Astyanax mexicanus: one gene and its partners. The protein of the gene in region 1 binds, or shares a complex with, the protein of each later gene. Links are inferred from orthologs where the notes say so. Each region holds a gene or a part of one and is shown on either strand. Other genes may lie near its edges.

The links.
Region 2: mediator of RNA polymerase II transcription subunit 13-like (region 1) and med31 share a complex: the UniProt entries of both Homo sapiens proteins name them as parts of the mediator complex. The link is inferred for Astyanax mexicanus from reciprocal best matches to the Homo sapiens genes MED13L and MED31.
Region 3: mediator of RNA polymerase II transcription subunit 13-like (region 1) and med18 share a complex: the UniProt entries of both Homo sapiens proteins name them as parts of the mediator complex. The link is inferred for Astyanax mexicanus from reciprocal best matches to the Homo sapiens genes MED13L and MED18.
Region 4: mediator of RNA polymerase II transcription subunit 13-like (region 1) and med8 share a complex: the UniProt entries of both Homo sapiens proteins name them as parts of the mediator complex. The link is inferred for Astyanax mexicanus from reciprocal best matches to the Homo sapiens genes MED13L and MED8.

What each region holds. Positions count from the first base shown.
Region 1 is NC_064408.1:20,292,375-20,300,279, forward strand, and holds the start of mediator of RNA polymerase II transcription subunit 13-like, read left to right. Parts: upstream 1-4,885; 5' UTR 4,886-7,122; coding exon 7,123-7,194; intron 7,195-7,905. UniProt on the Homo sapiens protein: Component of the Mediator complex, a coactivator involved in the regulated transcription of nearly all RNA polymerase II-dependent genes.
Region 2 is NC_064424.1:13,288,091-13,295,831, reverse strand, and holds the start of med31 (mediator of RNA polymerase II transcription subunit 31), read left to right. Parts: upstream 1-4,736; 5' UTR 4,737-4,900; coding exon 4,901-4,922; intron 4,923-5,786; coding exon 5,787-5,861; intron 5,862-7,741. Other genes in the region: slc13a5a (solute carrier family 13 member 5a), read left to right, coding at 1-6, 1,249-1,374. UniProt on the Homo sapiens protein: Component of the Mediator complex, a coactivator involved in the regulated transcription of nearly all RNA polymerase II-dependent genes.
Region 3 is NC_064413.1:34,555,993-34,563,885, forward strand, and holds the start of med18 (mediator of RNA polymerase II transcription subunit 18), read left to right. Parts: upstream 1-4,882; 5' UTR 4,883-4,991; intron 4,992-5,308; exon of another isoform or gene 5,309-5,442; intron 5,443-6,749; 5' UTR 6,750-6,783; coding exon 6,784-6,856; intron 6,857-7,781; coding exon 7,782-7,893. UniProt on the Homo sapiens protein: Component of the Mediator complex, a coactivator involved in the regulated transcription of nearly all RNA polymerase II-dependent genes.
Region 4 is NC_064412.1:54,815,181-54,822,477, forward strand, and holds the start of med8 (mediator of RNA polymerase II transcription subunit 8), read left to right. Parts: upstream 1-4,279; 5' UTR 4,280-4,374; coding exon 4,375-4,380; intron 4,381-5,466; coding exon 5,467-5,588; intron 5,589-5,699; coding exon 5,700-5,844; intron 5,845-5,941; coding exon 5,942-6,082; intron 6,083-6,818; coding exon 6,819-6,906; intron 6,907-7,297. Other genes in the region: KICSTOR complex protein SZT2, read right to left, coding at 1-2, 552-722, 1,548-1,721, 2,289-2,414, 3,741-3,764. UniProt on the Homo sapiens protein: Component of the Mediator complex, a coactivator involved in the regulated transcription of nearly all RNA polymerase II-dependent genes.

The DNA of each region.
Region 1 (7,905 bases):
CTTTGTCATTGTGCAAACATCTATGTATGCACATCTGTATATTTACACTGCCTGGCCAAAAAAAAAAGAAGTCACAGAGTCTAATATTTCGTTGGACCACCTTTAGCTTTGATTGCAGTATACATTTACTGTGGTATTGTTTCTATAAGCTTCTCCACTGTTACAAGATTTATTTCAATCCAGTGTTGCGTTAATTTTTCACCAAGAACTTGCAGCGGCAATGATGATGGTAGAGTCTGACCACTGCACAAAGTCTTCTCCAGCACATTTCCAGGATTCTCAATGAGGTTAAGGTCTGGACTCTGTGGTGAACAATCCATGTGTGACAATGATGATCCCATGCTTCCTGAATCACCTTTTTACACTTTCAGCCTCATGAATCCTGGCATTGTTATCTTGGAATATGCCCGTGCCATCAGGGAAGAAAAAATCCATTGATTTAATAACCTGGTCTATATTCAGTATATTCAGGTAGTCAGCTGACCTCAGCACATACTGTTGCTGAACCTAGACCTGACCGACTGTAGCATTTGCTTTGTTAACCTTCCTGCTATCGTCAAATATATGAACATCCTTTATTCTCTTGGTTAATATGATCTTAGCAATTTAAACCTCCAAAAAATTATTATAATTACAGATCATTAAACATGTTGGCAAAGTTTACTTACCAGTGTGTATCAAGTGTTTTATTAGTATTGCATAAATATTATAAGTAATGTTTTGTTAAATCAGGGCCTAAAGTAAAGGGACATTTAGAGAAATTTTATAAAACTGAACGTCATGGTGATCTTAACATTATTACTACACAAATATGTCAAATATTGTTATTTTTGTTATGTTTTATGCCAACAAAACAGCCTTTATAAAACAGACATTAAATTTGAACCATTTGAACATTTTTATTTTTTATTAATTGTCTTCATTAAATTAAGAAAAGACAATAAATATGAATTACAAAACTAATGTCAACCATTTTTTCAGAGACTTGAAACAATGAATGGGGTCAGATTGAGCCCAAAGATAATAGGAGGGTTAAATCCAGGTGGAGACTTTTTTTTTGGCCAGCCAGTGTATAATTTTCAATTTCTTAATTTCAGTACAGCATATGCACTGACATGCCAGGTGTCATGGGACATAGAACTGTAATATCATGTCCTATTACTTTTGCTATGTCGTATAGAGGCTGATGTGTGTGGGGCCTCCTGCATTAAATGTAATTGTGATTTCTGCCAGAGTTGCTTGTCTGTTTACACTGACATTTCTAGCCAGAGGTCGCTGGTCACATCATAACCACACACTGCTCTGTCCACTGTGGGAGGTAATGCCTTCTATGATGTATTCCTGGGAGTCTGGAATTATATGCTGTGGATTAAAGAAGATTAAATTTCAACAGAACTTCAGGTACAGAATGTCTCATTTATCTGGAACCGAATATCAGACCTCACTGGAACAGTTTATACAGGTCTGAGTGTCCTTTTCCTAGCTGTTCCCTGAGGTAGGCTCTCATAAGCCTGTAGAGAAGTATTGCCAATAGAATAGGACTCTCTGAAGCAGATATACCTGAAACAGTTGGCACTATGTTGAATGCCAGACATGGACTAGAGAGGTAAAAAGCTTTCCAGCATAAGTTGTGAAGCAGTGCTCCATCCAATACTTTTGGGATTAGTTGCAGAGGTGGGAATCATCCTCACAGCAGTCTAGTACAAATCCCTCCCTGGACAGTCGAGACAGTTGCCATAATGTCTCAAATAACAGAGAACAGTGAATAAGCAGGTATCTCAGTATTTTTGTCTGTAAAATGTTCATTGTAGTGTAAAGTGTACATTGTAGTTTATTTCATAACAGTGTATAACAACTTTATTACAATATGTTAATAGGTTATGACAGTACACCTTATATAACTGCACTGTTTATTATACTATCTAACAGCTGGTGTCAAACGAAATGGGTTCCGAGTGGTCCAGCGGTCTAAGGCACAGCCACTATGACCGGGAGATCTCCAGTTCTTATCCGAATCCTGTTTATGTAGCTTGCCATCAGCTACCGGAGCCCCGAGAGAGCACAATTGGCCTTGCTCTTTCTGGGTGGAATCTGATCAGCACAAGGCATCTGTAAGCTGATGAATCAGAACCAAGTCGCTCCGCTTTCCTCTGAGTGTGATGCTACTCGGCAATGCCGCATCAGCAGCAGTTCGAAAAGAGGCGATGACTGACTTCACCCGGAGTCTTCACCCTCCTGGTGTTGGGGCATCACTAGTGATAGGGGGAGTCCTAATGAGTGGCTTGGGTAATTGGCTGTGTAAATTGGGGTAAAGAGGATAAAAAAAACTTTAAGTAAAGTGGAATTATGACAATTTGTGTTGCATTTACAATCAAATGACAAAAAATAGTAATTAATTGATACTGTTTTTCTGTTTTTTATCTTACTTTTGTCTATTACATTTCATGTTTATTTTAGCTGGGTTAATTGTGAAAAAATGTTAGATACATATTACTATGAGTGTGTAAATATAAATACATGTTTAGAATTGGCAAGTTTAAAGACATCTTACTGGCCTTCTTGCAAAAAGTAAGCAGTGAAGTAATGAGATAGGAATTCATACTGTAAAGTGTTATGGGTGTAATTTTCTTATACATGATGCAATTGCTCAGCAGAGATATGGAGAGTTATCTTTTTAATATGTGCACTCCTTCATCAGCTGATGATAAATGTGGAAGCTGTGTCATTCCTGTCAATCATAAGACATGGTTAGGTTCATATCCTCTTTAACCCTTTCACATCCAAATTCAGAGGAAAAGAATATGCACATGATCATTCTAAACACAGTCATACATCCTATTCTTTCACAAACAATATATGGCTGTAATTACTGTTTATTTGTTTGTTTGGATTCTTTCTTAATCTAACTTATTTAGAAACATTTTTCAGTTATTTTAAATTGCTCAGGAACTCAATGGAAACATGGAAAAGTTTCAGAATGGAAGCTAATCTCATCTCTGGCAGAAAGAAGGTAGCTGACCAATGTTGGCTTACTAATGGCAAAGCTGGTTATTGGCATTTTTCTCAGCATTTTCTGGGAGACTTGCCAGATACTTTTGTTTTCTTTTATAAAGTAGATTAGAAAAGAGTATTCATTCATTTTCAATTAAATCATTTTATTTCAGACCTAGTCATTATTATATTTGTAATAACTGCCGTCATTATTTTTTCAAATAAAAGTCTCTGTGCATTTATAATATAGTTGGTGAATGAGCTAGTTAAATTAGATTATTGTGCATTAAAATGATCTGGATGTATCAACATTGTCAGTCAGTGGGGTGCTGAACTTAAAATATATCAAAATATATGCTTGCCATACAGGATGGTAATAACTACACAATCACAGTCTGACAAATTGACTGTGTAGATTTTTAATACGCTCAACACTAATAGTGCCTATCTAAATGAGATATTTAGTTGTGGGGACAACCTATTAAGACGTGGGAACAAAATAATTAAGTCATGGTCCCAACTTATTAAGGCATGGGAACAAAATAATTAAGTCATGGGGACGACTTCTTAAGGCATGGGAATGACATCATTAACGCTTTAATAAGTCATCGCCACATGTTACTATTTTTTTTTTTTACATGATATCACCATAGAACTGTACTGCTTGGAAAGTTTACACACTACATTAAAAACTCATGTAAAAACTCATTTTTTATTAGTCTGCAAAATGACTTTTGTGCTTGGACTTGACACACAGAAGGTCTGACACACTTCATCTTCATCTAAAACACAGTGGCATATTAGAGGGAGCATGCCTTTATCTTCTTCTGCTTTTTCATCTTTTTTCTTTCTTTTTTCCTCTCTGTTTTGTATTTTCTTTTCTTTTTTTTTCTTCTGCTTATGGTGTGTTTAATTGGGTATCAGCGCCTCTAGCGTCGAGATGAGGTTCTGTCCCTCTCTCTCTCTCTCTCTCTTTTTTCTATCAAAAGAGGCTGAAAACGCTGCTGTAATCCCTTTGCTTTGATCACGTGCTTTTTTTGTGCTCTACTTTGCCAAATAGGAAAGCGAGTCTCTGTCGAAGCCTGGCGGCCGCCATTACATAGCTATGCGTGGTGGGCTGTCGAATAGCGCGAAAAGCTGCCAGCGACTGTTAGCGTAAGCACACACACACTACACTGTTTCTCACACACACACCGTCTCTATCTCTCTGTCTCTGCCTCTCTCTCACTCTCACACAGACACACACACATAAAAAAGTCACAGACACACACATATAGGCTACACTGTTTGTCACATCTACAGTATCTCTGTCTCTCTCACACACATACATATACACAGTCACACACAGTGGCTACACTTTTCCTCACAAATACAATATCTCTCTCTTACACACACACAAACACAAAGTCACACACACATATGCTACACTGTTTCTCTCTCTCTTACACACATACACACATATTTACACAAAGTTACACACATACACACAAATAGGCTACACTGTTTCTCTCTCTCACACACAGCCTCTCTCTCTCTCAATTTAATTCAATTCAATGTGCTTTATTGGCATGATAAATAGTGATACATTTCTGTTGCCAATGCCTGAGTTATACAGTTTTAACAGTAAATAATAGTGGACTGTCTCAGAGATTAACAATTTCTAAAGTGTAGAAATTAACAATTTCTAGAAAACAATTATCTATTTCTCTCACACACACAAACACATACATACACACACATAAGCTACACCGTTTCTCACAAACACACTGTCTCTCTAAAACACACATACACACACATAAAGTAAGACCCCTCTATTTGCATAGCCTCCATCCAAACACAGAGCGTGCGTCGCGTGTGTTGTGTGTGTTTTTTTTTAAGGATCCAGGAGCCTCGCTCTGTTCGATTTGTCCTCGGAGTGTCTCGGAAGCGCTCGGAACCTCTCGCTCGCGCTCGGCAGCTCTCGGCGACTCGGGGAAACAGCGGCTAAACAGTGCAACAGTGACGGATGGCACGCCGTGGACGCTTTCGGAGAGAGCTCGCTGTGTGATTTCTGGCCGACTCGAGCAGGGCAGATAGCTGAGGAGGCTCGTCAGACGGCCGTGTTTACTCGGTGACTGGAGCTATCGGCGGTGGATCTGTTCCTTATCTAGCTTATCCTGTATCTTAGTTATCTATCTGTCTGTCAGCGACTCGGACTCGTTTCTGGCTTTTGTTTGATTTTATTTAGCTTTACTTCTACAAGAAGAAGAAGGAGAACAAGAAGAAGAGAAACTGGCGAGAGAGAGAGAAAGAGAGAAATATCTCCGGGAGAGGACGTTACGTTATTTCGTAATTTCGTTCTACTTAGCTAACTAGCTAGTTATGTTTATAACCAGAGAAAGGAAGGAAGTTTTTTCCCCTTTCTCTTCAGTTTTTTTCCTTTCTCTTCTGTTTGTTGGTTTTTAGCTTATCTAAGAAAGCTAAGCTAGGTTTGGTAGCTAAGGAAGATTGCAGTTGCTGCTGCTGTTTGTTGCTACGGCTGCTGCTGCTGTTGTTGTTAGCTAGCGTTAATGTTAGCTTAATGTTGTTTTCTTATTGTTTTAACTAGCTAAACAGGTTAACTAGCTTTGCGTTAGCTAGCTAGGTTAGCTGACTAACTAGTTATCTTAACTAACTGCATAGCTAATAAGGTTTCTTTAGCTGGTTAAACATGTTCGTTTGTTGTCTTCGCTAGGTGGCTAACTAACGTTACCTCCTTCCCTAGTCTCTCTCTTTCTGTGACTGGGTGACTGAGAGACTGATAAAGAGAGAGAAAGAAAGAGAGTGAGGGAGGGAGTGAGAGAGTGAGGACAAGAAGAGGAGGGTCAGGTTTTTATTTTTAGCTCCTCCAGAACGCTAGTTAACTAGCTGGGGTTAGCTAGCTTGCGTTAGTTGCAAAGTGAAACGAGGATTTTTCACCATTCTTCCTTCCTCCCTTGCTCAGAAGCCAGACTGTGTTGTTGCTCGCGTATCAGGGGAAGAGTGAGGACGGCTCTATAAATAGCTCCAAAGAGAGGGAGAGAAACTACATCGACGTTAGCCAGCTAGTATCATTTTCTCTCGTGTGCCCCCTCTCTCTATCTATCGCTCTCTCTCCTCAGTCTGTGTGTGTGAGTGTGTGTGTTTTTTGCCGCCTTCTCTCATATATGGAGGGCTGTGGGGGAGTCAATGGAGTCCGCTCACTCGCTCCGCGCTTCTGTATTGTTCCTAAACAGAGACGCTTCAGTGGATTATACTAGCCATAGCGAGCTACAAAACTGAAACTTGAACTGGGAGCACGCCGATATTGAGACGTGTCCTCTTTTTTGTGTGGATTTTTTTTGTTGTGTGCAAGAAAAAAGGAGAAAGAACCGAGAGGATTGGAGAGAAGGAAGGAAAGAAAGAAAGGGCATAACTGGTCCTGGCTCTTGCTTTTTTGAATTACATTTATTTTTTTTCTTCTCCCGTGGATTACTAGGATATACTGTGATTATAGATATGCTATTACAGTTATTGTATTAGTAGTAGAAGAAAAAAACAAAAAACAAGTCAACTGGCATGGACAAGGATGGTCAAATCATCTCACGGCGGCTAGGAGGATTAAACACACGGAGGATCATCATCATCATACCCACCGCCACCGCATCGCCACAGACAATGATTCGGTTTCAGCCGCCTGACGAGAAGCATCCGAGCCACCCCGAGCTCGTGTGGATGGAAACAAAGTGTTAGTGCTAGCGCTAGTTTTCAGTTTTCGCCCCGAAGAAAAGAAAAAAAAGCGGAGACGGAGAAAGGAAGGAAGGAATTAAACCCTAAGGCATTCCTACGGATTCGCTACAGTGTTTTAAAAAAAGAGAGAGAGAGAGAGAAAGAGAGAAATCACGCCTCCGCTGGTTTACACTGCGTTGTTCCTCTCAGTCTGCTGGCTTTCTCCGTGATTTTTCTATATTTGTTGCTTGCTTTACTACTGAAGGAATCGTTCATCCACCTTCTTCAACCGACAACCAACCTACCCACCTACCTTCCTTCCTAAGTACCTGCCTAACTACCCCCTCTCAGAACCCTCTGCTCGGTTCTGATACCGATCGAGGATCTCGACATGCCCTACGCTGACGAGCCCATCGGCGGACGATTATGACTACAGCAGCGAACTGGGTGGCTAACGGGGCGAGCCTTGAAGACTGCCATTCCAACCTTTTCTCTCTGGTACGGTCAACCAACCTACTTCTATACACTCACTTATGTCCCATAGAGTCTAGCTAGCTAGTGGCAGCGATTGGGCTGGAGGGGGGAATGAAGCAGCTGAGGGGGTGTGGTGGTGGTGGTGTTGGGTGGGTGGGTTTGTGGGGTTTGTGCCTGACTGCCTGGAAGTGTGTGTGTGTGTGTGTGTATGTATGTATATGTGTGTCTGTGTGTTGGTTGTGGGGTTCTCCTTGAGGGCAGGGACCAATCAACCATCCACCCACCACCAGCCTACTGTTCTCAAGGTACAAAGGTGAAGCAATCTCTGGTAGCCTACTGTTATTAGCCAATCATTAACATGCCAAAAGAGCCTGAGAGCTGGGCTGGCTTGGAAAGGTAGGTTAACATTTCTTTTTTTGGCAGTCTGCCTCCTCATGAAATGAGCTTGAGGGCTACTGTACTGTTCCCCACGGTGTGGTGGTCAGGAGTGGTCAGGATTCATACTCACCATTCATCATGCCATTGAAAAAAGAAAGGAAAGAGATGCCTTGCTTTGGCAGACAGTTCATAATGGCCAGCTGCTACTGTATGGTATGGTTGGTAGTTGATTGGGAATGTTGTGCTGCTATTGCTCGGGTTGCTTGTTACACACACACACACAGGCAAATCTGTTTACTCAAGTTTCAGACAAAAACCCTTTGGGGAAAGGAGAGACAGGTTCAGCTGGGTGTTTTC
Region 2 (7,741 bases), on another chromosome or scaffold:
GACATGGTGAGTAGAAATCTGTGGTGAGAGTGTAAATAATTGTTAAATGTAAGTACACTAGCAGTCAAAAAGTGTTGCTCTCATACACTGATAATTAGCTGTTTTGGAAATATTGAGTGTAGAGAGGGACCTGTCAGTTTTTGGAGCCAATACAGATCTTCCTTTATTCCATACCAATCCAGGGCAGGACCTGGTGCCACATTAACCTTTCCAGGCAAACTTCTGAACATATGTAATCTGTCATTATTCCTTAAGCCCTAACTGGATAGAATTAGTTTTTCAGGGGGTCCTGGGGTAATTTTTCTTTTCTGTGAATTTATTCCCGTCCAGAGAAAATTACAGGCTGAATTACCTACTGTTTTTCACTGAACTCTGTGGTCCTCCGGTATTTTAAGTCCCGTCCAGATGCACATCTCGGAGTTTTGCCACTTCATGTTTAATAACATAGCTATTTGTCTACTGCTATGTACCGTGATTACATTTGGGTGCGCATTTCCATGGTGATCCACCTAAACACAACAGTGAGTGCAAACGGAGGAGCTACTGAACGCAATGTCACATGACCGAGAAAGCCAAAAAAAACTCACTGGTCCTCCTGTTTTTTCAATTGCAGTCCGGATGCAGGAGTTTTATCACTGAGTAGAAGTGTAAAATATTTTTCACAGACATGCCCCTGAGAAACTTATCCCGTCTGGATAGGGCTTTACAATAAAAATTCCTTTAAATGTGGTCAGTATTTCTTGTTAGTTTATGTGGTTAGTGGTGTTTGTTAGCTCTGCTGAGTTGCTATGTTAATACTCGCTGTACTGGGTTAATGTACTCTCGAAAGGGATAGTGGAGTTAAATGTTTTGGAGCTGGGTTTAACAGTGGCTTTAATGCATGTCTGCAACCATGCCAATGCTTCTCGCAAGGAACTTCAGTATCCTGTGACAGAGGAGTCTCGCAAAGATCTGCTGTAATCCTTCATTTGGGAATATAATCTGATCCAGACACTATAGGAAGTGTGTTGACTGCAATAAAGCAAATGTGTAAAGCAGTTTATTGCGACTAATTTAAAAAACAGCCATCAGCATAAGAAGACAACTCTTTTTTTTGCCATTGTTGCCTCTTTGTTTCTGTTTTTGCTATTTTACAATTTTTGGGGGTTATTATTTTTGACTGCCAGTGTATTTTTACTCTTGATCTTTTTACTTTTGATACATTTGATCTTTTATAAATGTGGTATTAAACTGCGTTTCCCTCCTCAGGCCAGGACAGGTATTGTGATGAACATCATTGGTATCCTGTGCATCACCCTGGCGATAAACAGTTGGGGCAGACCTCTGTTTGGCTTGGACTCCTTTCCCAGTTGGGCTAACACCACAGGGGTGTGAGAGACTGGACACAGCACACAGCCAGCACAACAGATTACTCACACACCAACAGCAGCCCCCTCGACTGCACTTAAAGCTAAGAAGCTGAGGGTGGCGCCTTCATCACACCTCTGACGGGTGTCACTGGAGGAGCCAGCACATCCTTACCTGCTCTTATACACTGTGACAGTGTGTCATACACATACTTTATCAGTACAGATGTAATATATAATCTGTGTACAGCAACTACCTTATATAAATATGATGGTGATGGCAATAATTTTTTACATTTCATTTATTACATAAAACCTTATGAAGGATACTCATGGAAACCGGTGAGACTGAGAATCATATTTGTATACAATAAAATATTTTTCTATTTATCTTTAAACATGTATATGCATAAATATATATGAATACTGTTTGTTTTGATTAGATAGGACAGCTCAGGACGGCTCTTTATATTACAGCCTTTGGCCATGTGACGTTACATATAAATTTGAATATGTTTCACATGGTAGTCTCGACTTATATTAAATCAAATGTGATGGAATGTTTGTAATATTAAAAAAGTTTAATATTTTTTGTGTCTTCCTGTGTTCTTATTTTAAATCTTATGCAGACAGAGAAACAAAAGATCTACAGTGGAATTCAATGTAAGACGTTTTTATATGAAGTACATTTTGGAACAATTCTGTATCAAACCCTCAAACAGCCCAGCATCAAAAACCGTCATTCAACAATAGCTGATAGAACCATGTAGACAAGAGATTACTTTACAGTAATGTTTACATTCACAAATGACACGCAGAAATTTACTATTCAATGCAGAATCACAACAGGTGGATCATCACACAGTGGAATCATGTTTTGTGGTCAAATAAGTCAGTAATCCACATATTTATTGGAAGAAATGGTTGCTGTGAGCTCTGATTCAAAAATGAAAAGAATCAATCAGACTATTATCATTATCAAATCCAAAAGTCATGGTCTATCACAGTATGGGGTTGTGTCAGTGCATTTTTGTGATGCAGCATTAATGCAGAAAAGTACGCTAAGTTCTTAGTGCAACCTTTAAAACAACATTTTTTCAAGGCACGACCAAAACTACATGCTGCACACATTACACGAATCTAAAACAAAAAAGAAAAATGACAAAGACTCCATACTGTTGTTGCACATTGTAAGACGTGTCTGCAGGAAGTATAGGACAAAATAACACCTGAAACAATTTTATAGCTTGTTATCATCAGTGACTAGAAAAAGAAATGGCAACATGACAAGGTAGGAACGTGTTGCAGGAATGGATGTATATTAATAAATTAATTGATGTTAACCAGTTAAATCATGAAAAATATTGAGTGCACATTGTCTGCAATTAAACAAAAGTAAATGTAAGACAATTTTGTTTTGTTTTTTTATTATTTGCATTTTCCGTACTGTTCCAAGTGTTTCTGATTTGGGGTTGTATATAAAACACCTGTTAAATTAAAATTGTCAAAAAGTGAGAAGATTTTTGTATGACAGAAATAAAAACAATTGTATGTTACAGCAATTCAAGTTTATTTAATAATATATTCTTTATTATAATCACTGTGTAGAGCTACAGTACCAGTCACGGCGGTGCTGCCCTCTACTGGTCATATTTTAGAATATGCCAACAGATTTTTTTTTTGTTTGAAACAGATACGTTTCATTCAAGTATGAGTAGAATAAATCAAGGACTTACTTTAAACATATAATAAACATGATTTTTGTAACACTACTAGAACATGTTTTTGTTTTAAGTCAGGGTCCAGGTGAATACATGTACATTACAGATAATATAAGTTTATACTATAGACTATGTTTATTTTTCTCTATAACTTTAAGAATTTAATTAGGCAAGGTGCGCGCTTTTACGCACGGGGCGTGCTTTTACGCATGGAATGCACTTTTACGCACGGAATGCGCTTTTACGCACGTAACACGCTTTTACGCATGAAATGCGCTTTACGCACGGGATGCGCTTTTACGCACAGGACGCGTTTTTACGCGCGGAATGCGTTTTTACGCACGGAATGTGTGCTTTTACGCACAGAATGCACTTTTATGCACAGGGCGCGTTTTTACGCACGGAATGCGTGCTTTTACTCATGGAATGCGCTTTTACGCACAGGACGCGTTTTTACGCACAGAATGCACTTTTACGCACAGGACGCGTTTTTACGCACGGAATGCGTGCTTTTACGCATGGAATGCGCTTTTACGCACAGGACGCGTTTTTACGCACAGGACGCGTTTTTACGCACGGTACGTGCTTTTATGCACAGGACGCGTTTTTACGCACGGAATGCGTTTTTACGCACGGTACGTGCTTTTATGCACGGAACGCGTTTTTACGCACGGTACGTGCTTTTATGCACAGGATGCGCTTTTACGCATGGCGTGCCATTTCATATTCAGTAATAAATACTCTTTTCATCTATTTATGCTGTAACGTGTTGATACTGTTTGGTGCTTTTCCAGCAACAAGCAACACTGCTAATGTGGAGAGTTTTACATTACCCAAGCTCTCTTACACTCTTAAATACATCAGTGTAACAGTGGAGAATCCAACCATTTATAAACTATATGTTTCAGTTAACTAATCTGTTTTATACATCATCCCTGTGATGGTAGAAACACTTCAAAACACCAACTTTACATGAGAAAAAATGCTCTTAACTTTCAATAGAAGTCACTATAAAATGACACTTGCAGATCCAGAAGAACATATTTGGAGTACATGGAGATGCACAAAAGGACACTTGGAGCACTAATGAAGCTAGTGCTGTAGCTGCCAAGACGTCTACAGCCCAATGCTAGCGGTTTTGAGTTACTTGCGTCTTCAGGCAACATGTTGTCTACCAATAAAATACCTTTTAGGAAACAGTGTGCACCGGGGAGCATTTTTTAGGATTACTAATACAGAGGCTATAAAAAAGGCTATGTGTGCAACTCTGAACTTATCAGACTCGAGATTAAAGCTTTTAAGCTTTAATTATAAACATTTTGTACGCGTTCTCATTTTGAACTGTATCTCCAGCATCAGCTCACCAACCAATCAGCTCAGAGTAGCAGTAAAAAACATTTCTTGAAGAAAAACTAAAATATAAAGGTAAATTGTATCTGCTGTTTTATTACAATAATTTATTATTCTTTATAAAATGAAATGAATATCACAGATAAATAGTTAATTACTATTTTTAATTTGAGTTTTAGCTGTTTAGCTTCATTAACCCCCATTCATTGAGGACTCCCTTAAGGGCTCCCTCTAGCGGTTCTCAGTGATATACAGATATAAAGGGGGTATAGTGTGAGTGGGCGGGCTCTGGCTCTGACCATACCGTCATCACGTTCCTTCCCGGAACTTACGTAGGAGGAATATGGCGCTGGGCTAGACAACACAAAACGGCTTTCAGCGCATAATTATATTATTATTTCAGTAAATCCGGTTTGTTTGTAGCTGTTATTCGCATTTAAGCGGTTTAGTTAAGTCGTTGTTGTTTTAGTTTGTCTGTGTGAGATGGCTGGAGTCCTGGAAACAGGTTTGTATAACAGCTTTTCCAGCAGCAACTTCTTTATTTAGCTCGGTTAGCTTTAGCTACCTAGCCTTAGCTTGCTTATTTTGCCTTTAACCCTCAGTGGCTTAAGTTTATATATACAGCTCTGGAAATATTTAAGAGACCACTACAGTTTCTGAGTCAGTTTCTCTGATTTTGCTATTTATAGGTAACTTATATGTTTAAGTAAAATTTAACATTGTTGTTTTATTCTATACACTACGGACAACATTTCTCCCAAATTGTAAATATAAATATTGCCATTTAGAGCATTTATTTGCAGAAAATTTGAAATGGCTGAAATAACAAAAAAGATGCAGAGCTTTCAGACCTCAAATAATGCGAAGAAAACAAGTTCACACCTATAAAGTGTTAAGAGTTCAGAAATCTATATTTGGTGGAATAACGCTGGTATTTAATTAAAGTTTTCATGCATCTTGGCATATTCTACTCCACTAGTCTTACACACTGCTTTTGGGTAACCTTGTGCCACTCCTGGTGCAAAAAAATCAGATCAATTCAGTTTAACTTTGATGGCAAGTATATCTTATAAGGCTGCAACTAGCAATTTTTTAGGTATTTGATACATTTGATTAGCCGATTAGACCGAGCTGACTGTAAATTAAGTGCCCTTACCCACAGTGCTTTTCCCCCCCAGCACTTTGTGTACACCATGGCAGTTACACATTTACAAATAATCAACACTAACATTTTAAGTTGACAGACTGGGGAATAGAACCTCACAGGTTTTAATGTTTTCTGTAAGAATATTTTGAAAGTCTGATAGCTAGCTGGTCACTGTTATCAATATTCATGATAACGTTCTCTAAACTCTTTCTTTCCATACAGAGGAGCAAGCAAGAAACCGCTTTCAGTCAGAACTGGAGTTTGTTCAATGTCTGGCCAACCCAAATTATCTTAACTGTAAGTTACATTTCTGTTAATGTCTATTTTTATTGAAGGTACTTGCTTTAGTAATGGGTTTAGCTATAGTTTGTGGACACCCTTTTAATTAATGCATTAAAGTACTATAAGTTGCACACATTAGGATGTTGAAATCCTAATAAATACACACACTTATGGAGCTACAGTACAATTCCTGTAGAAAATGATTGCCAGTAGAATAGAACTCCCTGGAGTCTTAAATTAGGGGATGGCAGGAAAGCTTACTTGTTTCTTTACTGCTCACACTGTCTCAGAAGGCAGTGTAGTGGTAAAGATCTCTGTGATGCAGTTAGGGTTGCAACGGTATGAGATTTTCACGGTATGATAACCGTCTCAGAAAATACCGCGGGATAACGGTTATCACGGTATCACAGTTTGTTACATATATTATTAAACTGACCCTTAAAGAAATGACAACAAAGGTTTTTTGTTCAATTAACTATTTATTGTATAAACTACATCATCAGGTGAAAGAAACCAGGGCAGTGTATATATAAAAAAAGTTGGTATATAACCAGATACTGCAGAAAGAGGGGATTTATATCTGACATGATCCTCACATTAGATATTTCTATTTTAAGGCTTTCACACCTTAAAACCTTCAACATATGAAAAACAGTCACGTCAGAATTTGAAAATGAACGCATGTAAATGAATGGCGTCTTTCACATCCAGTCCGGCCAGGACCTTTACACGGACACGTGAATCCATCGTAGCACGCACTTCACGCCTGTACCTGCGTGCCCAAATTTCGGATAACTCAGCGCTTTTGCGGGCGCTTACCGCATGGGTTGTGCACGACTACAAAGAGGTTTTATTTAGGTTCAGATTAAAATTATAAACTAAACACATACTTTGCGCTGCACAGCGGGGTGGTGTTCTCGGAGATGGGAGAACAGGTGTATTTCCTCCTTTAGCTGTGACTTTACGGCCACATTGATTACAAGCTTGTTGATTACAAGATTACAAGTCTGTTTTCGGGCTGTTTGAATGAGCGAAATATGATCAGAATTATGTTAATTAACACTAACATAGAAGCATAGAACTATTATTTAATTAAAATGATTTTTAAGAACAGCTAAACACAGTGCGGAGAAGTTCACGTGCGAGAGAGAGACACAGAGAGAGAGAGAGAGAGAGAGAGAGACACAAGAGAGAGAGAGAGATTTGCGTGTTCTTGTATGAGCTACTCACAGGTAAAGGTTCTCTTTGATCTCCTCGTGCTCATATTTTAGTCCCATACATAATTCTGCAGTTTCTCAGTGTTTTCTGTCGTATTTTGCGGCTAGCGCGAGCGCTAACAACTAACACCGCGGACCGCGAGGTGCCGCCGCGCTGCCGCTGTTATGCCGAATCCGACTCCCTGCTGAATCCGACTCCCGCTTCGCGGACAGAATCGGCACAACACCTCCCGCTGTAGAACTGCGGGAGTGAAAACAGCGCTTATAAATAAGTTAGTTAAGTTTCACTTTCAGTTTTCATTATTTGGTTCGTTTTCATTAACAATATTAATTGGTTACTTAGCAACATTGTGATTATCACACCAGAGCTTTATTTAAAAATAAAATATATGATTAAAAAACAGATGCCTACATCTCAGACTATTTTCTGGAGCCCAACCCGACCCAGCCTGAGGAATGTGGTGGGAAATATCGGCCCAGGTCTGGTTCGGGCAGAGAATCTAAGAGAATCTAAGCTCTAGTCTGATGCACTTTCTGCCATTCTCACCGCTGTGTGCTGAGTAGCTGAAGCGGAGCAGAGTTGCGCATGCGCGGGTGAGTTTCTCCGCTGGCTTGCGTTTTACCGGTAATAAGCAAACACACACGGTATGATAACCGTGCATTTTAATACCACGGTAT
Region 3 (7,893 bases), on another chromosome or scaffold:
GTCAAAAAATAATCAAGACAATTCTGATTTTTGTTGTTTTCTTTTTTTTTTTGACAGTTACAATATTGGAAAAGAATAACACATAAAATGTGTCTTAAATATAATTACCACATTATTTATGTATTTTTTTCTGTTTTTTTCTATTTATGTATGTTAAATAAAAATTAAATAAAAAATTATTTATTACAGTTTGATGAATTTTGTTCTCTGTGACTTATTTGTACTTTAAACTGTTCTTTAAAAGGAAACATTTAAAATTGTTCTAAATAATACCAAAAAGTGTTTAATTACTGTAAACAATAATATACTTTCCAACATTATACACAACCATTTTAAGTTTATAGATATTAGAGACATACACATTCAGTAGATACATTTAAAGCAATATCTCACACGTGCAACTAACCAGAATGCCTCCAGTCATGACACAGTGTTACATTATTGAGTATAGTGACATTATTCACATGTTCCATAACTTGCACTCAGCAGTGCACATTAGAGCGGTTCTGCATGGTGAGAACACCGCTCTTCTACAGGCAACAGCAATCCTGAAAGGTGAAAGCCCTGTACTCATTTTAATCTTAAATATGGCTCGCTTATGTCATTTGGGTAATTTCCACTTGGCATCAGTTAGTGTTTTTGAAATGTTTGTGAGTCAGGGTGTGATTTAAGATACTGTCACCAAGTTTTTGACTGTTCAATCTGAATACTAATTAAATGCGTGGGCATGGAAGCATTTACCATTTGATGCACAGTGGTCACTGTAAGACACATGTGTCAAACACAAGGCCCGCGGGCCAAATGTGGCCCGCCACGTCTTTTTATGTGGCCCGCGAGAGCTTGTAAGATCTTAGTGTCTATAATAAATAAGTCAGAAGCGTTCTTTGACCAAAAAATACATTTCCCACAATGCTTGTCGATTGTATTACCCGCAAAGTTACGGCTTACTGCCACTACACGGCAGTGTAGTCATTGATGTGGAAACCCTGCCGGACGGAAGGTGTAACTTCGCGGGTGGAATTGAGACATATAAATGTTTATCCCATAATGTCCAGAAAAAGAGAAGTTGATGCAGACGGACGGCTGTGCTTCAAGGCGACCGGTATGCCTTTTGTGTTACGAAGAGTGTTACTGACCAAAATAAACGCTTTTTAGGAGAGATATAAGTTCTGTGTAAATATTTATAAGACAATAGCTGACAAAATCTGTTTTAATGACGTTAATAAACATCACTGGGACAGCGCTAGTCGCAGTTTCACCGCAGCAAAGTACGAGGACGTGAATAACTTATCTAACCAGCCTTTACTAATTTCTGCCCTCAATAACCCTTTCAATAACCTCCAATAGCCTTTAATAGTCTTCAGTAGCCTTCAACAGTCTAACCTTGCAGCCGTGGTGTGTCCACTAAACTCCGTAGTTATAAACATCCTGAGGTTAGCAGCGCGATAACTGACCTGTTTATAATGTAATCACAGCAGTGACTCATGCTCTAAACGGCTGCTGTTAGCTGATTGGGCTGAAAGATGAACTGTAGAGAGCTGTATTATTCGGTTACAAAAATCTTTATTTCATACACAGAAGAACTTAAAATTTTTAAAAACGCTCCAGACTGGCTGAGCTGAGCCCTGTAGCCCGTGGCTGGGCTGTAGCTCTGACTCAGTAAAGACTGCGGACTTGTGGTGCTGCTGCTGCAGCTCCCACTAGTGGTTGGATGAGGAACTGCTAAATCTGAGGAAATGCTATGTTCTTAACAGCTCACAATTTTTGATTTTATATTTATTAAGCCTTATTTCAGTTAATAATTTCAAAGTTAATATAACTTGATGTCATTTCTATTCACTTGAATAGTTTGGTTCTTGATTGATGGAGTTTCATGACATGACAAATTAAAAGGATTTATGTTAATAGAGCAACAAGCAAACATTTTTTCCATGCAACTGTAATATTTGATTGAATAAATAATATATTGAGAGTTATTTAACATTAAGGAGTAATTACATTCATTTACATATATTACATTTGGTTACATTTTATTACATTTATAAGTTACATCTGGCCCTCGGAGGACAGCCAATATGCCAATGTGGCCCTCGGCCAAAATGAGTTTGACACCCCTGCTGTAAGACATCTTCTAGTTTTTTCTCACTCAGTTGTGTTTGCAAAAAGACAAAATCTCCAAATTTGCTTTTTAAAATTTCTGGGAACACAGGAAGTAAGAACTGTAGTTTTTTTCTGGGCCCAGTTCTAGTAACACTGATGTTTTGACCTGTAGCCCAGTGGAGATTGTATTTGCCTATTCGATCATATTTATGAGCACATAAACCAAAGTGTATGGCACCAAAGCAAGAAAAACTTACCAGTTTGCTACCTTTCTTAAATAAAAAAAACAATACAATAAAGTTTACATCACTTGTTTACTGAGGTTAAACAATTTCAGCAATTTTACCTTTGAGCTGGCACCAAAACGTGCTGCTTAACTTTTTAAACACTAAAATGACTAAATGCTATATCATTCAAGTGATATACATAAAATTGGCATCAAACAATGAATAAAAGCATTTGCAAATGCATGTCATGTATTAATGACATAACATGTCAATCCATGTGGGTGGAGCTTCAAAAACTCTTTTTCCATATAGCATGACAAATATGGTGCAAATAGATAACTGTGAGGTGATACATTTTAAATATATATATATATATATATATATATATATATATATATATATATATATATATATATATATATACAGCTCTGGAAAAGATACCACTTAAAATTATGTGTTTCTTTGATTTTACCAAATTGAAAATCTCATAATCAATCAAGAATAGAACATAATCAAGAGAAAGATGGATGATTACAAGCCATATAAATGACAATATATTTATTTGGATTTTGGTAGAAATGTTGTCCATAGTTTATAAAATAAAACAAAAATGTTCATTTTACATTTAACATGTACCTATAAATAGCAAAATCAGACAAACTGATTCAGAAACTGAAGTGGTCTCTTAACTTTTTCCAGTGCATTCATTTCACAGATTTGTTTACACAATGTTAGTGAATATCAGCATATCTGAATGTATGGCATAGTAACTTTCAAAATCCCACCCCCAACATTTCCACACACACACACAGACACACAAGTGCGCTCAAACATACACATACTCACATAAACTTAAACCTATACAGAAACATGAATCTCCAGGTAAACACACACACAGGCATCCACACATAAGCAAATATACACACATATGAGCACACACATACATATACACACATATAAGCAAACACATACACACAAGCAAACACTGGAGAGTAAAAAAAGCAAACTCACCAAGACATGTATGCAAGCACTTTTTCTCTTATGGGTGTACTTACTTTTGGTAACAGCGATTTAGACATAAATAAATAGCTGTGTGTTGAGTTATTTTGAGGGTGCAGCAAACGTACACCGTTATACAAGATGTACACTGACTATTTTAAATTGTATCAAATTGGCATATCTTCATTGTTGTCCTATGAAAAAGTAAATATTAATAAAATGAATTAATAACTCACTTCTGTTACATACTGTATTTTTTAAGCCCATCTAACCTTTAAAATGACATTATTTAAAAAGAACATTTGTTTGATCTTCTATACTTAGTCATAAAGGAGTCACACACTCACATTGTACGGCATGCAATGTTCTTTTGAAGAACAAGATAATGTCTTAACATTGAATCAAGAAAAGATTTAACATCACATGATTTCAAAGCAAACTGGATACAAGTTGCTTAAAGTAAATACTGATTGATTTATGATTGATAAATGAATACAGATTATTCATTAACAGTCTATCATATTGAATGCCCTGCAGAGGGTGGTGAAGGCTGCACAGGGGATTGTTGCCTCCCCAGCACCATGGACATCTACACCTCCATACAAAGGAAAAGGGCCACCTGCACCACCCACCACCCTCTCTTTATGTCCCGCTCCAGGCAGAAGCTGCATCAAGTACAAAACAACAAGACTGAAAAACAGCTTAATTCCAGAACTGCACTGACAAATCATATTGCTGCTACTCTCCAACTCTCCTTTATATTTTGTGTATTTATCTTTATATTTTCATTTTTTTATATATATATTTTTTTATCTTTATATTTTATTATTTATATTTACTTAACAATTGCTCCTTTTTGGTGGAATTGGACCGTGAGTTTATTAATTTTATTCCACCTGTACCACATGTGATGTGAATGACAATAAAGTCTCCTTGAATAAGATTATCACGTGAAGAAAAGAAAACAACAGACAAGCTCACTCACACACGCACAGACATACACATATAAATGTCTTGGTGCTCTACTGATTGTACTGGTCTAACACACATGCATGCAAACACACACACAATATAAAGTAAAACACCAAGGTTTATATGATAATTCCTGAAATTTAATATGGCGCAACATAAAATTTGCTTATGGACTTAAAAATGTCACTTCTTCATATGTAACATTTCTTCTTCATTTTCTTCTGTATTGGTTGCTTTCTTTGTTTTTTTTTTGTTTTTTTTTTTTCGTTTTTTGTTAAGATTGATTAATTTGCTATTTTCCTGTACATTACAATTATATTGAACTAATACAACATTTAATATATATATATATTGTAAAAGTTTACACGTTTGAGGACATTGTGTTGTGCTGTTTTTACAAATTTGGCAACCCAAATGTACGCGCATGCGCAAAGCCTGTACCTCTACAACGAACAGAGTTGCCAGTTTCGCGGTTTTTCAGCCAAATTGGGCTTGTTTCAAAATCCACTCGCGGATGAAAATTTAGGGGTGGCGGGGTGCATTGTTTGGGCTACTTTTTAAAAATTACCGCGCTCGCCAAAAAAGTCACAAAAAAGAAAAAAAAACACACAATCTAACCAGAAATCACCCCGCGATGAAAAAAAGGTTAAAGAGGATAGAAGGGAGTTCAGGATGGGAAAGAAACATAAATGAGTAAGTCAAGTTTTTTTTTTTTTGCTAATTATGTTACTATTAAATGTTCTTGTCTGGGATATAAAACTGTTATGAAAGAACTAATAAAACACAATAATACAAAAAAAATACAATACAAAAATACAATATTAATGACTTTAAGGTAAATAGCAATACTGATAATAAATATATTATAAATATAAAATACTAAGTCGTAGTTGTTTTGCCATTTGCGTCGAATGTAAGACAGAAATATTTAATATTTTGGGCTAGGTTAAGCTTCTGAAGGCCGGGATTTAGACTGACTTTGAGTATTTATGGTGGACCTGGCAACCCTGACAATGAAAGCGCTAGCAGGCTAAGCGACAACAGAGTGCACAGACAGCAGTGTTACACAGCCGGTCAGTCAGATAACTGACGGTTAAGACGTTATAGGCTGAATATTTCACGCTTTCCTCTTTACACAGAGCCGGTATGTGTTATATTCAGAGCTGGGTTTGTAGTATTTGTCTATCTTTCTGAATTATTTACTTGTTTCGTTTAGGCCTCGTCTTTCTCACACACACCTCCAGTGCAGTGGCGCCACTGTGCTGTAACATTTGAGTAACACACACACAGAGACAGGCACACCAGGACCTTTTAAAACACTAATTTACCAAAATAAAAAGTATTTAACTGCTAGTTTAAATGTTACATTTGTTCCTGGTTTATTTAAGGGTAGTATATTAATAACTTAACTAGAGTTAACGAGCTAACGCTAACTAGCTCATCGTGACCACAAACAGCCTTTGATTACTAACCTGTAACCTAGCTACTTTAGGGTCACTTAATATTTATCTATCACTCTTTTATCTAGTTAACCAGCTAACCTACGTTTATTTAATGCTGTACTTAATGATGTTTTTAATTTTTCACAGAAGTAGTAGTTAACTAGCTGTTTGAGTAATGGGAGCCCCGCCAGTCACCGTATATATACAGCTCTGGAAAAAAAATAAGAGACCACTTAAAAAGTTTTTTTTATTATTATTATTTTACCAAATTGAAAACCTCTGGAATATAATCAAGTGGAAGATGGATGATCACAAGTCATCAAACCAAGCTAAACTGCTTGAATTTTGCAGGAGGAGTGGCATAAAGTTATCCAAAAGCAGTGTGTAAGACTGGTGGAGATCATGCCAAGGTGCTTGAAAGCTGTGATTAAAAAACAGGGTTATTCCAACAAATTTTGATTTCTGAACTCTTAAAACTTTATGAATATGAACTTGTTTTCTTTGCATTATTTGAGTTCTGGAAATTCTGCATCTTTTTTTGTTGTTTCAGCCATTTCTCATTTTCTGCACATAAATGCTCTACATGACAGTATTGTTATTTTGAATTTGGGAGAAATGTTGTCCGTAGTTTATAGAATAAACTACCTATAAATAGAAAAATCAGAGACACTTATTCAGAAACTGAAGTGGTCTCTTATTTTTTTTATATATATATAGATAGATAGATAGATAGATAGATAGATTATTATTGATTATCCATTGGCTGACACTGACCACGCTACATATACTTACTATATTGTTTTAAGCTATATATTTGTGTGTAAAACCCCCAAAAAATGTGAAAACCAATTTTTCAGACACCTTTCATTTTATTGTTTGCTCAAGCTAACAAACAGCCTTTGATTACTAACCTGTAACCTAACTACTTTCGGGTCTAGCACTCTTTTATCTACTTAACTAGCTAATTTAACCTACGTTGATTTAATGCTGTGTTTAATTTTTTTTACAGAAGTTGAAGGTAACTGTAACTCCCCGGGTGAGTGATGGAAGCCCCGCCGGTCACCGTGATGCCCGTTACCGGGGGCACGATAAACATGATGGAGTATTTACTGCAGGGTAAGATACTGTCTGTTTTCAGCTGTCGATCCCGTTTCTCCGCTGTTTCAGCGAGGCATGGTCATTACAATGATTCCAAATGATTATCAACAACCGGGTTAAACCAGTTGTATCGTTATGAAGCTTCGATACCTGTACCCACGCCGCCATCTAGTGTTTAGTTCTAACTTTTTCTGAAGTTTAACTTTCTTTCTAAACTCAGATTTTCATTTACAAATACACTTTAACTACAAAACGGATAGATGTACACATGTGATCTTTAGCATAACTGGGAAGGGATGGAACAGGGCTGTGTTGAAATGAACAGCTGCAACCAGCTTAAAACTAGATTTGTACAATTATTGTAGAATATTTTGCATTTACCTTTTTCATTCCAGGCAGGTTATTTTGATGATTACATGTAATTCCATTTACATATTTGTAGAGGTGGGCAATGGGGCCCTAAAAGTATTTTTGTGAAAACAATATTTTTGGCGATGTGACAAAATATTTGGATAATAAAATAAATTATTAAAAAAACACTGTTGCAACAAAATTATTGTATTTGATTTGCCAGTATTATTGCATAGAGTATGATATGGCCAATCCCTAATTGAGGTTGAAACCAAAGGTAATGATCTAACGTGTTACAATACTATTAATGCGCTCTATATATTTAGGACTGGTTTGAATCTTTAAATTTTAGCGATATTGGAATTGTTTTTTTTTTGTGAATATCTTTTCCTTTTCCTTTTTTCCCCAAGAACAAGTACAACATACAAAAACAAACAAAAGTATAGAACAATTAAATATTTTTTAAAAAGAATTATCAGCATCATTTGACTTGGTCAACACTGTTTTGATGATCTGTAGTATTACTTTATTATTACTTTATCTGTAGTATTACTGTATTTCTGAAATTAATACTGTATTCTGCACTCCATAGGCAGTGTGCTGGACCAGTCCTTAGACAGTCTCCTCCATCGTCTAAGAGGTCTGTGTGACAACATGGAACCAGAGAGCTTTGCTGATCATGAACTAGTTTACCTTCTTAAAGG
Region 4 (7,297 bases), on another chromosome or scaffold:
ACCTGAAGAACAGGATTAAAATTTAAACACAAAGCCTCAACACAACAACAAAAATAAAACAATAAAGACGTTTTATCACAATCACAATAAAGTACTTCTGAGATACTGTAATCTATCCTTAGCCATATAATTTGTCTCCTGCTATACAGGATTTAAACATTTAATCAATCTAGAGAGCCTAATCTAGTTTTTGTATACTTTAATTAATACTTTATTTAAGTTTAGTATGTGTTTGATCACTGTCTATCTTGATATTAAGTGTATTAATGACTACAGCTCTCAGAGCACCTTAAATAAAGCTTATCTTGCACTTACAACCTGTGCCCACCTTAAAATAGACAAATCATAGAAAAAAGCATTTTCTGCAGGAAAAGTAGATTGGTTGCACAGCTAAAGTGGTTTCCAGTTGTTGCAGTGATGTGGCTTGGTAGCTGCCATGGTCAACCATTACTAGGTGGTTGATCGCAGTAGAGAGAAACGTGTGTCATACTGAAAGTGTGATGTCATCCGCTCTTAATCCAAGTGATTAGAGGGAAGTGTGATGTAATGACCTGGTGTGAGCTGAGGCCGACGATGGAGGAGTATGCCAGGATGGTGATGAAGATTTCAGGCTGAAACAGGAAGTCTGTGCCGGGAATTTTAAACGGAGCAGCCAGTCCAGCCAGACATCTCGAGAGGGCATGGAAGACTTCATCAAAGATCATCTCGCCTGTGCTGTCATCCTGCACAACACAGAGAATCACAATCACATCAAACGTAAGGAAAAAAACAGCCTATTATACTGCTGTAGCTTTACATCACTGACTAAAATATATATATATATATATATATATATATATATAAGTGGATTTTACTACCCAGATGGTTGATACGTCTTTCCTAAATGGTTTCCATTTGTTGCTAGATATTGACTATCTCAGGTGGTTGTTAGGTGGTTGCTATGGTATCCTAGATGGCTGCTAAGGTGTTGCTAAGGGGTTGCATTCCTCGGTGGTTACCATATCTTTCTTAAATGTTTGCTCAGGTGGTTGCTATGGTGTGGCTGAGAGGTGTCGCACAAGGTACGGTATTCCATGTGGCAAATGCTATGCTATGCTATGGCACCTAACAAGTGCCATCATTCACCGCAGTAACCACCCAATAACAATGACAAAGCTGCTACATGTAAGAGGTTCTTGGCTGGTTGCTATGGTGTTGCTATGTGAACACAAGATGTGTGCCATAATGTTGTGAAGAGGATTGTCATGGCATTCAGCTGCAACTGTTCATACAATAACCCATATGGTCGGTCAGGTGTTGGAAAAAAGCTAGTGTGATACCCCATATAGATAGTTGTTACCATAGCACCCCATTCACTTTGTGATCTCCAGGCGCTGCATATTAATACAATAATTTAAATTGAAAATGTGAGACTGCTGCTCCAGCCTTATCTTTAATCAAGGTTTGCACTAAACACACACACACACACAGTTTAATGAAGAAAAAAAAAAGATAATTAATGGAGTTAGAAGATTAATGGATGGTTTGAGCCAAACAAGCAACTTTACCACAATCCCGGTGGAGGGGCTGAGGTCCAGCTCAATGATAAAGCGGTACCGCCGGGCCAGGAAGGTGACCCGTGTGGACGGCACCAGCAGGTACGGCATGGAGGTGTGAGGAGAATCCGGCTGCCATCCTTTTGGCAGAATACTGAGAATATCCAGTTCATTCTCTGATTTGAGCTACAAGCACAACATATTTTTCCTGATTACTGACATTTATTTACTCTTTTTATCTAAGTCTATTTAAATCAGTAATAAATGTAATATACTGTATTATCAATTCAAACATAACACCCTGAATGTGACTTTAAGCCAAAATAAGGAGTACAAGTAATTACTGTATGCTTTAGAATGTGCAAAAGTGCCTCTGTAGAAGATGTACATTAATTTTTCATTTAAAATAAAAAAATATGTAACTAAATTGTAATGTATCCTAATTGCATAGGAATTGTGTATCAAAAACAATCCATAGCACATATTTATCATAGCATCTTTAATATTTATAGTTCATAGTTATTTTTTATATTTCACTCTATTTTCGCAATATTTAAATATATATCATTTAAATAAATGATGTTATTTCTATCATGCAGCCCTAACAACAAATTACCTGTAGGCTAATCTCACGTAGGCCAAGCATACATACCATTTCTATTCTATGCATTTTAACATTATCTATCAAAAACATTAAAATAATCAAATATGACACAGTGACTCTATTCAGTACCATTCTGCCCGATCACGTACCAGCTCAGACTTTGGGGACGGCCGGATGACCTGGTTTAACTTGCTGAGGAACCAGGATAGACGCACATTTCTTGATATGTGGTAATCTTCTTTCATCAACAGGTAAACCTGGTCTGCCTCCTCCACCTGCAGAGAAAACACAGCCAGGTTTTTACAAAAAAAAAAAAAAACACCACAGATATGTTCAAGTGCAGCATCACAGACAATTATGATTTATATGATCACTATAACAGTGCTATTGTTTAGGTTATGTGTTTATTCTTTTTGTAAAAAAGAATAAATAAGGTGGGCCTCCACCTTATTGTAAACACAAGCTTAAATAAAGATTAACACCAAATAAAGAGAATTAACACCAGCAAATTAGCAATACCGTATCACTAGGCCTGCCACGATACCAATATTTTGTGGAAGATATAGTGTCCCGGAAACTATTGCGATAAACAATATTACAGTCATTTTAAGACCATTCAAATGCCACTTATATTATATATAATATATAACTCACCCAGATTGAGAAATAACCCCCAGTTATCCACTGCAACACACCAACCACAAGTATTTAATGGTCATAATACAACTATATTAGTGTTTATCATGATCATTTTTCTGGAACAATATATTGTGACAGGCCTAAGTAAAAGTGTTAAAAACAGGCGGTGAAGGTGAAGAGTACAAAATGAGGGCTCTCTAAAATAAGAGCACACCTCTGTAGCTAACAAATCTATAACGAGACTATTATAAAGGTCAGCTGATAAAGAAAATAAACAAATAGCAATTTATCAGGCAGCTGCAAGTCACTGCATGAACCAGTGGATTAAAAACTGTTATCTCTCTTCACATAATTAACGTTATGGGTTTATAGAAAGTAGATTAAATTACTTGAGGGTTCAAATAAATAAATCAATAAATACATGCTTGTGCAGAGATTTACTATATGAGACTTCTTGCTTTTTTTAAAAATCTGAACATTGCAGTGAGATGTGGGAACCACTTTAGGGAGGGGCTGGTAAACAACACTGGCAAGCTAATATGACAGGATATTGTGTGTGTGTGTGTGTGTGTGTGTGTGTGTGTGTGTGTTTAGTGGACTTATATAGCTACTACAACATTATATTTAATTTTCTAAACACTGGTTCTCATCTTTTTATATTTATGTTACTTCTTTTTGCTTTATTCAGATGAAAACTGCTATAAAAAGCTATAAACTGCCTTTCCCATGTCTGACCAGGTTTAGAGTAAATTAGTTTTATAATAAACATCCCCTAAAAGTTAAAATTTATATTTTTCACAGCAGAAATATTAAGTTTTAGACACGCAGAGCTCTGAAATACACTTTCTTTAACTAAGCAGTAACTGACCCAGCCTCTGTAATGATTTATAAATCACAAGACTGTCAGTAAACAAGTTCAGCAGAGCAGAGTAAACACATAAACAGCATTAGCGCGGCTTTACCTCAGAGTCCGGCCTGTCTGCCATGCCTGGTTTCGCATTACTGGCGAATTCTCTGCTTCCCCTTCAGCTTCTGTTAACAGAATAAATTAAATTAGCGCTGCTGGTATTTTTATTTCTATTTATCACCGCCAAGTTCGCCCAGCTGTCTGCAGTTAGCTTAGCATAAAGCTAAACAACTCCTCCGGAGCGCTAAACAGTGAACACCACTAGTGATTTAAATAATGTCAAAATAAAAGTCCTCATCCGGTCAAAGCATATTGAAGTCATATTAAAGCATACAACTCTTGAAAAAAATAAGAGACCACTTAAAAATTATTTGATTTTACCAAATATTTTTATTTTTTTTATTTCAGCCATTGCTCAATTTCTGCAAAAAATGTTCTAAATTATATATTTTTATTTGGAATTTGGGAGAAATTCCATTCATTCATACTAGAGACCAAAATAAGACTTCATCATTTTAAAATGAATGACAAAAAAGATTAAATGAGACATATAACATATTGATAATGGTGATACATGAACGTATTAGAGGGGACTTCTTTTTGTGTTTTGCAAAGCGGGATGTCTGGGCTCTGTGTTTCCGGTATTTCTGGTGTTTGGTGGTTGGGAGCTGCGCTGCTTGTGAATAAAGATGCAGGTAAAACTGAAATATTTTGTAATTTTATTATTTTTTACCGCTTATTAGTACCGTCAGGGTCATTCCTACATAACTTCTGAAGGTGTTATTCGGGGGCTGAATTGATGTTAGTGTGTGTTTAGGCGAGTTTACTGTGTGTAAAAGCGCTGTATGCAGGTTAGCCTGTGTTCCTTAGATTTAATAATAAAACAAGCCTAAAATCTCCTCTTAATTCCACTCTTACTGATATAAACTTTAATTCAGGTTCTCTGTAGTACGTATGATCTCAGATTTTAGCAATACATTGTTAACTAAATGTAATTATGGCTCATCGTAGTTGAACTTCACTGTAAAGAGACCATGTCCATATATCCCCCAAAAAACTTATTGTGACTAATATTAGTAATGGGCGGTGTGACCAACAAATTTATATCAGGGCTTTTATATAGCTGTCTGCCTTATTTTACTGTTAGATGTACATATTAAATAAACATTTGGGCTTTAAATTAAGGGCTTGATTACTATTGGGTTTACTTTGTCCTACAAAATTACACCATAAATATTAATAAAATAAATATTTTAAATAGTTCCATAAACACTATAAATAGAACTAAAATACTTAATGTTTAAGTATTCAAAAAGAGATAATCCTCAAAAGCTCTATTGCACAATTGAAGCCGTTAGAGGCATTACAGTATTAAAATCAGCCACTATTCCCCTTCTTTCTCCAGTAAAAAATATATATTCAATAAATTCAGTCTCTGTTCCTGAGTGAATAATTGCTTCTATTTCACTCTAAAAAAAAAAAACTCATACAGTGAGGAACAGCAGCAGGAGCTCCCCAGATAAAGTGTTTTCTTAATCAATTAGTTTGCCCACTTATTTAGTTAAATGTTTTTGTATAGTTAAATGTTTTTGTATAGTTAAATGTTTTTTGGTAAAATTGCTGTTTTTATCTGCACAAATAAGAAATATAAACAAATGCAGATTTTTGATCACAATAATGCATATATGCAAACCGAATGGGGTTCAAAATAGACCAGCATTCTAGTTTAAAATAAGAGATTTTAACATGTGGTCTGAAAATCGTTTTCTTTTTTTTTTCAGCAAAGAGAAGAGAAGCAGTTGGAGGCGTCTGTGGAGTCTCTGATTTCTCGCGTTGCACATCTGAAGAATTCTCTGCAGAGCTTCATCTATAAGCTGGAAAATGAATATGACAGATTAACATGGTGAGTATCAGGTCATGGCTTACATTACATGTAAATATATACATTAAATAGCCATAGATAACTATATTGCTATTGATAACTGCTCATGCAGATGTGTTTCGTTTATCACAGGCCTTCAGTGCTGGACAACTTTGCCCTTTTGTCAGGGCAGTTAAACACAGTGAATAAACTGTTAAGAAATGAGAAAACTCCATCTTACCGGAACCAAGTCATCATTCCTCTGCTGCTGTCGCCAGATAGAGACGAAGATTTAGCGGTTAGTATCTGTATCTCTTTCTGATATCGTTATGATATCGATATATGTCTGTAAACAGGGGCTAAATTACATCCTAATTTGTGTTCCTTCTATTCAGAAACTCACAGAGCAGAGGGTGCCTGTGTTCAGTCATGAGATTGTTCCGGATCACCTCCGGACAAAACCGGACCCGGAAGTGGAGGAGCAGGAGAAACAGCTGAGTGTAGAAGCTGCCAGGATTGGACCTGAAGTAGCTCAGGTACTGCATTAACAACCATACACTGTACTGTCACATGAGATGAAATGTATTTGAAAACCTACTTCTATGTTGTTTTTGTGTTTCATATTGCTATTGCTCCATATATCAATATTACTTTAATAACTAACTCTGTGTATGTATTAGTGCATCTATAAAAGTAGAATATTATTAAAAAGTTACTGTGTTTCAGTAATTCAGTTGAAAAATGTGAAACTCTTATATTATTTAGATGTATTAAACACAGAGTGATCTATTTTAAGCATTTATTTATTTTATTGTTGATGATAATGGCTTATATTATATACACATTATATTATAAGACCAGTTGGTACTTTTGGCAGTAAGGGCAGTGTGCCAAGTCCTGCTGGAAAATGAAATCCGCATCTCCATAAAAGTTGTCAGTAGCAGAGGGAAGCATGAAACCCTCTGAACTTAATAAAACACAGTGGATCAACACCAGCAGATGACATGTCTCTCCAAACCATCACTGATTGGTGGAAACTTCACACCTCGACCTCGAGCAGTTTGGACTGTGTGTCTCTCCACTCTTCCTCCAGACTCTGCTTCCTTAATTTAGAAATGAAATTTAAAATAAAATTTACTGTTGATCAGTGATGATAATATCTTTTATGAGTGCCCTGCTTCTCAGTGGTCAGCTTACATTTATTTATATATTTTTTGTCTTCCTGTAACAGTACTGAAAACTAATCAGTGGTTTGTTTGTTTGTTTAAACAGAAACAGATCCAGACTATGAATAAACTGTGTTCGAGTCTGTTGGAGAAGCTCAACAATCCTCGTGATGATCGAGAGGCAGAAACTGCAGGTGAGTTCAAAGTTGTGTTGTGTTTGTGGTGTTACCTACAATGCCTTGCAAAAGTATTCTGAACTTGAACTTTTCATCCTTTTGCCACATGTCAGGCTTCAAACATGAAGATATGAAATTGTAATTTTTTGTGAAGAATCAACAACAAGTGGGACACAATCGTGAAGTGGAACTGCTGTTCACAAACCATCCAACCTGACTGAGCTCGAGCCTTTTTTTGCAAGAAAAAATGGGCAAAAACTTCAGTCTCTCGATGTGCAAAACTGATAAAGAGAAAGACCCCAAGCGACTTGCAGCTGTAATGGCAGCAAAAGGTGGTGCTACAAAGTATTAACACAAGGGGGCTGAATAATATTGCACGCCCCAGTTTTCAGGTTTTTATTTAAAAAAA